Callithrix jacchus: one gene and its partner. The protein of the gene in region 1 interacts with the protein of each later gene in a pairwise test. Links are inferred from orthologs where the notes say so. Each region holds a gene or a part of one and is shown in the gene's direction. Other genes may lie near its edges. The genes, in order: POLI and DNA repair protein REV1.

Region 1 (3,827 bases):
GTGTTAGGGCTCTGTAAGGATATTTACATGCTAATTAAGCTTTCAGACATCTTAAGACTCTGCATGTGACTCCCTTATCATACCACATACAAGACGAGTTACTCTGCTTTTGTGTAAGATTTGTCCGACCCTTTTGCTCTTAAGCCTCCCCATGCATTTCCTCTTATCCTCTTTTTTGAGAACTAAACATCAGTCTACAAAATAGTTCTCCACAGAAAAAAAGCGGTAGAGCTACAGTTTCTGGACTACGTGGAGCTTTTCATGTATCTTTTGTACTTGTGCTCGTTTATAACTTACAAGGGCTAAGTAGCAAGAATATTTCAAATGTATTCTATATAATTTTTAAAGCAAATTTAGATTTTATAGGTTAGAGTATGTTATAGTTAGGCTTTATATCCCAAAAAGGAAATGTGTAATTATTGATTAATTCTTCCTCTTTCACACAGATTTTATTAAAGTCTTTTTCAAACCTAAAGAAAAGTTGACAGAATTGTACTACAAATACCCATTATGTCCTTTCTTGTAGATAAACCAGTTGTTATCATTTTGCCACATTTCTCTTATTCTCTCTATGGATTGCTTGCCTGGTTGATGAGCTATTTGAAAGTAAATTGCAGACATCCTGACATTTCATCTCTAAATACTTTGAGCATGAGTCTCTTTGAGGTTCACATAGTTTAATGTAATTCCAACACTGTTTTATATCTAAAGCAAATTTATTTTTATATGATTTTTTTACACTTTCATAAAAAAGCTCTAAAACTATGGACAGGTCAGAGATTATTTTCAGCAGCATATACAGCTAGTGTGTGGTCAGGATTTAGATGTTTAGAGCTATAATGTTAGCTTTCTTGTTATATAATAATACTTTTATGCTTACTTACAGGTAAATGTGAGTAAAGTTTTATTCATGTAGGAATTTTTTTTATGAGTTTTTATAATGTGTTAATTATTAAGCACTTCTAGTATACAGTCACTATCACAGGCCCTTGGAATTTGCTTATTAAATTTGTTTACAGTATTCCTGTGAAGCATGAAAGAGATTAGTCAAGTGGATAACAGGGTGGCAGTGGTCTCTTAGTCCATTGAGTGTTGCTTTAACAGAATACCTGAAACTGGGTAATTTATGCAGAAAAAGGGTTTATTTGGTTCATGATTCTCATGGCTGGCTAAGTCAAAATTAGCCCTCTGCATCTGGTGAGGGCCTCGGGCTGTTTTCACTCATGGTGGAAGGCAAAGGGGAGCCAGTGTGTGCAGAGATCATGTGGTGAGAGAGGAAGGAAGGACTGGGGGAGGTGCCAGGCTCTTGTAACAACCAGCTGTCTCTGGAGCTAATACCGTGAGAAACTCACTCACCCCTGAGGGAGGGCATTAATCTGTTCATGAGGGATCCACTCCTGTGATCCCAACACCTCCCATTTGACCCCATTTCCAACATTGGGAATCAAATTACAACATGAGGTTTGGAGGGGACAAACATCGCAGCCATACCAAGTGGTGGTGGTAATGGTAATGGTGGTTGGATATAGACTAAGCCCTCTATCTTTTAAAAATTATTTTGTAAAGAAAAAAAGGTTTTTTTTGTGACTTTTAATGACATTTGTTGTTTTTAAAGCTATAAATCTGCATGACATCTTGCACATCAGACTACTTGTTGGATCTCAGATTGCAGCAGAGATGCGGGAAGCCATGTATAATCGGTTGGGGCTCACTGGCTGTGCTGGAGTGGCTTCTAATAAACTGTTGGCAAAATTGGCTTCTGGTGTCTTTAAACCAAATCAACAAACAGTCTTATTACCTGAAAGTTGTCAACATCTTATTCATAGTTTGAATCACATAAAGGAAATACCTGGTAAGACAAATGTATTTGAAAAGTACATACGTTTTATTGTATTTCTTTAATTGTAAAAATTATAGATACAATGTAATTAATTCTTAGATGGGGTGTATGTGAGTGTGAGTGTGTGTGTGTGTACGTGTGTGTGTACTCAGTTCCTGGAAAAAAAGTAAAAGAACAGTAATGTTTTCTGAAGCAAATTTGGATTAAGAAGTATGTGAAAGTACTTTTCTTATTTTATCTACTTTTGTATGGTTATAATATGATCATAAAAGTTATAGCCTAGAAACATACGGCTCTTTATTTCCAGTCCTTGGGTCATACTCTTATAGTGTTTGTTGCCTCTGGAGAAGGAAGTTGATCTTTTACTAACTCTCTTTTGGTATTACATATAAAATATTAAGGCTACAATAGACTTTCCAAAACATCTAGGCCAAGTTCCTCGTTTTAAAGATGAGGAAACTGATTTCCTTAAGGAATTCAGTGATCTATTTAGGTCATGGGGCAAGTTTCTATCTTTGAAGGTCAAATATCTAAGTTTTTATAGACCATCAATAATGGCTATGTTAAACTACGTTTTTATGGTATTGCTGGGGTTATAAAAGAGTTCTGTGGAAGTGAATTTCTAATACAACTGAAACTTAGATGTCATACTTCACATTTCTAACTGATACTTGTGTGTCCTTGCCTTCCTTAGTATAGTATAACTATAATTTGGAGTTTTTTGGATGACTTTGGTTCTGCATTCTGAAGAACAATGTCAGGTTGTAGTAAATTGAGAACTGTGTACTATTGCAAAACATTTTTATTTGGCTTTACTTTTGGAGTCTGTTTATTTATTTATTTTATTATTTTTTGTAAAACAGGCTTTCTGCTTTCTCATTTATTGCCAATTGCCAACCTTCTTTTATTTCTGCTGTGAAAAATCTGTCACTCTACCTTAGTAATTCCCCCTACACAGCCATCTCTTCCAACTTACTGCTTTTGCTGTGCAAGAAAACCAGATAACTATAGAATTACTATTTTTAAATGAAAAGAATAAGGAGACACTAAGTGGCTTGAGTATTTTCTCTTGTGAATAAAGTATGACTAAATTTTAGTGCAAGAATTTTGTGACAGTTTTGCTAGCAAGATTATTTGTTTGCTTTCTGGCTCATAGTTGTATTCTGGATGGTAAATATTGTTAAGATGTGACTTATGGTTAAATGTGTGGAGCTGTGCATAGCAATCAGTTAGATTACCTAATATGGACACTTAATTAAATTGCTCTAGTGGCAGCCTTTTTGTACATTAATAATAACGATTTCTGAATATTTCGAATATTACATAACAGATTGTAAAAACTTTGTTTTAGTAAGACAGCATTTATTGACTGCCTCTATGTTCATTTTGTTATACTGCATTTTGTGAGGACTTCAAAGAGATGCATATAATTCAGGAGCCTTGAGTGGAAGAACAGCAACCTGGTTTGCAATGGAGTTTGATCTTTGCAAAATACAGTAGTCCCCCATTATCTGCAGTTTCACTTTTCACAATTTCTGTTATCTGCAGTCAACTGAGGTCTGAAAATACTAGGGGATATTTTGAGAGAGGCAGAGACCACATTCATATAACTTGTGTATAGTACATTGTCATAATTGTTTATCTTATTATTAGTTATTGTTAGTCTCATACTGTGCCTAATTTATAATTTAAACTTTATCATAGGTATATATGTAATGGCAAAACAGTACTATATATATAGGGTTCGATACTCTCCATGGTTTCAGGTATCCACTGAACGGGGTAGAATGTATCCCCTGTGGATAAGGTGGGGACTACTGTATAAATTATAGAACTTAAAGACATGATTGATATATTTATAATATTTTACTTAGCTTTATTTTAAGGAGAAAAGCTACTTTAACGTTGTATGCATTTCTTTTTATTTAGGTATTGGCTGTAAAACTACCAAATGTCTTGAAGCTCTGGGTATCAATAGTGTACATGA
Region 2 (3,827 bases), on another chromosome or scaffold:
AACTTGTGGGACTTTTCTGTGTAGTCAGGTTCTCATTACTAATAAACCAAGTTAGTATTAGGATGAGGGGCTTTAGGTGAAACCTGGTAATACTGTCGCAATTTCACCTGTGCCTTACTACTCTGTAGGGTAGCCCTTCATCTGGAGCCTGCATGGTAATTGAATTAATTCTGTGGACATGTGGACATTTCTAAGTAGAATAAATAACTGTTTGTAATTCAGGTTTTTGTTGTTGTTACTTAAATGATTCTCTTGAAGTCATTACTAAACAAACTTCTAGAGGAGCCAGGATGTGACTTTAGCATAGCATTTGTCATAGGTTCTGCATTTATAAAGCTGTCGTAAAGCAACTTGGTACAAACTGCCTTGTACACCCTGGCATCTAAATATGCTTTTCTTAGCAATGAAGTACAATTTCCCTTGTCAATAAGGCAAGTGTCCTCATTTTTCTAGGTATAAATTTTACTGAATTACCCCACACGTTGACATGACTCTTACTTTTTGTAAACTTGTGCAACAGTTAGCTCCATTAATAGGTTAATTAAGATAGTCAGTTTTTTTCTACCGAAACCACTGGTTTCATACTGGATTTAATGTGTTGAATAGTACCTTTCATAAAAACTAAAACTAGGAACACGAATTTAAGTAAGGTTTTAAAATCCATTTTTATGTAAATTATTTGTAGTATATTCAGCAGATATTTATTGACCTTGTAGTAAATGCCGAGCATTGTGCTTTAGAACTGGATATTTAAAACTTATATATTCCAATTAATTTTTTATGGAAAAAATCATTGAAAAGTTTTTTGGGTTTTTTTTCAGCTGTGAGAAAGATTCTGTTGCATTTCTTCTTTGGGACTATCTGAAGTTAAAATGAAAAAAAAAACAACACCCAAAGGGCTGTTAATATTCTAGAATTTTTCTAATTACCTTGCTACTTTTGAAAATAACTTTTTGTCAAATCAGAATGTAAAGTTTGTGGTTTAATTTTCAGGGTTTTTTTTAATTGTCAATATTCAATATAATAATTCTCAAGTTTTTATTTTTTTGAGATGTAGTCTCGCTCTGTTGTCCAGGCTGGAGTGCAGTGGCGCGATCTCGGCTTACTGCAACCTCTGCCTCCTGGGTTCAGGCGATTCTCCTCCCTCAGCCTTGAGAGTAGCTGGGATTATAGGTGCTATCACCACCATGCCCAGCTAATTTTTTGTATTTTTAGTAGAGACGGAGTTTCATCATTTTGGCCAGGCTGACCTTGTGATTCACTCGCCTCTGCCTCCCAGAGTGCTGGGATTATGGGCCTGAGCCACCATGCCTGGCAATTCTCAGTTTTTAAAGAGGGAAATACCAAAGTATGTGCCACTAAGAAAATGTTGCAACGAAAAGATTATTTTAACCTAAAAGTCAGACATTATTAACTTAAAATTTTTTTCCTGCTTTAGAAATCACATTGTTAAGAAGACTGAGACAGAAAATGAAGTCACAGTCAATGGAGTAAACAGCTGGAATGAAGAAGGTGAAAATACTGATTTTAGTTTTGTGGATCTGGAGCAAATCTCTCCGGGAAGGAAACAGAATGGAATTCCGCACCCCGGCAGCAGCACTACCATTTTTAATGGACACACTCATAGCTCTAATGGTGCCTTAAAGACACAGGATTGCTTGGTGCCCAGGGGCAACAGTGTTGCCAGCAGGCTTTCTCTAGACATTTCCCAGGAGGAGGAGAAGGCTGAGAAGAGCAGCACTGATTTCAGAGACTGCGCTCTGCAGCAGTTGCAGCAAAGCACCGGAAACACAGATGCTTTGCGGAATCCACACAGAACTAATTCTTTCTCATTATCACCTTTGCACAGTAACACTAAAATCAATGGTGCTCACCATTCCACTGTTCAGGGGCCTTCAAGCACAAAAAGCACTTCTTCGGTTTCCACTCTTAGCAAGGCAGCATCTTCAGTGCCATCCAAACCTTCAGACTGCAATTTTATTTCAAATTTCTATTCTCGTTCAAGACTGCATCACATATCAATGTGGAAGTGTGAATTGACTGAGTTTGTCAATACCCTACAAAGGCAAAGTAATGGTATCTTTCCAGGAAGGGAAAAGTTAAAAAAAATGAAAACAGGCAGGTCTGCACTTGTTGTAACTGACACAGGTAGATACTTACTAAAATTGTTTTCTTAAGAAATGCTTGATCATTTTGTTCGCTATTATTGCTATTTCTGGTCAATACGAAGTTCTCATAAAAGTCTCCAAGAACTCAAGTCATATAAGTTACAGTAAGCATAACGTAGAAAGCTTATTTATTCAAATTTTTTTAAACGATTAGATTTAATTGTGGCTGACTGAAAATTTTCAGAGAATTTAAACAGTAAGATGGTTGGGATTCTGAGCATTCATTCCTCACATAGACCTGATCAGTTGAAGTTTTGAACTGTGTCAATATAATATCTATTCAGTGCTTAAACTCTGTAAGAATGAAATTTATTTGATAAGAGCAATTGTTAATTTCTAAAAGCTTGCATCATAATGATTTTTTAATTAATTTTGACAGCTGTTAGAATTACAGTGGTAAACTTTTAGTGAGCTTATTTCATATCTACGTACATTGGTTAATTGTACTTTGTTTTTTAGTACTTTTCTTGTCATCAAAAAACAAATGCACAGCTAGTAGCAGACTGCCAGTCATTATAAATTAGTATCTGGTTTGAAGTTTTAGTTCCTTTTACAGAGTATAGGATTTCTTTTATGGGAGAGATCTCAGATTAATACTATAATTTATAGCTGTGGAAACTGAGATATAGAAAGAAGCTCATGGTTCTGTTCTAGAAAGTGATAGACACTCTGTGGTTTTTTTTCTGTTTTGTTTTACTAAGTTTGACATATTTCTACGTACTTTTAGTCAAAAAATGCTTTTTGGTATTTATGAAACATTTCAGAATAATAGATATTAGATTCCTTATGTCATGTCTTGGCCTTGTTACCTGAAGGTTATTTAATTCTGAATGCTTCAAAGAACTATGATTAATTAGTTCTATAAATGGGAATAAAATGAGAAATTTTGTTATTGTATGAAAGCATTTGGTAGATATTTGGGTTATGAATTCTGTACTATTTGAATGTTTAAAAGCATTATTTTGGGTTGTTTGCATTATGTTTATATGACACTTTGAAAAATACTTTTATACAGCAGAACTGTGATTAAGATTACTTTATGAATCATTTCTTGAGATAATATAGAAGGTGGTAAGGAAGTACCTGGCTTTGGATTTAGGTAATTTAGCCTGAATCTGAATCCTTACTCTGCCACACTTATGCTGCAGGAGTATGGGCAAGTTAGTTTACCTCTATGAGTCTTAGTTTTCTTTGTGAAGAGCAATGATAGATAGTTCAGGATGTTTGCCTCGTGGAGTTGTGAGCATAAGAATACATGAGCAGGCTAGGTTCAGTGGCTTACGACTGTAATTCCCACACTTCGGAAGGCCACGACAGGAGGATCGCTTGAGCCCAGGAGTTCAAGACCAGCCTGGGCAACACAGTGAGACCCTGTCTCTACCAAAAAGAAAATAAATTAGCTGGGCGTGGTGGCAACGTGCCTTGTTCCCAGCTACTTCAGAGGCTGAGGTGGGAGGATTGTTTGAGCCCAGGAGGTTGAGGCTGCAGATCAAACTACTTCACTCCAGACTAGGCAGCAGAGTGAGACCCTGTCTCAAAAAAAAAAAAAGGGAGAACTAGTTACATGCTACCACAGTCACAGTTTGGTAAATGGAGTAGGCTGAAACTTTTAGGGGATATCTGTTTTTGGAAGCCTATTATAAAGGCTAACCCTCAGGT

What was found.
Region 2: the proteins of POLI (region 1) and DNA repair protein REV1 interact in a two-hybrid assay, tested with the Homo sapiens proteins (2 studies listed by BioGRID). The link is inferred for Callithrix jacchus from reciprocal best matches to the Homo sapiens genes POLI and REV1.

The regions. Positions count from the first base shown.
Region 1 is NC_133514.1:97,478,303-97,482,129, forward strand, and holds part of POLI (DNA polymerase iota), read left to right. Parts: intron 1-1,615; coding exon 1,616-1,852; intron 1,853-3,769; coding exon 3,770-3,827. UniProt on the Homo sapiens protein: Error-prone DNA polymerase specifically involved in DNA repair. Plays an important role in translesion synthesis, where the normal high-fidelity DNA polymerases cannot proceed and DNA synthesis stalls. Favors Hoogsteen base-pairing in the active site.
Region 2 is NC_133515.1:9,087,248-9,091,074, reverse strand, and holds part of DNA repair protein REV1, read left to right. Parts: intron 1-1,438; coding exon 1,439-2,148; intron 2,149-3,827. UniProt on the Homo sapiens protein: Deoxycytidyl transferase involved in DNA repair. Transfers a dCMP residue from dCTP to the 3'-end of a DNA primer in a template-dependent reaction.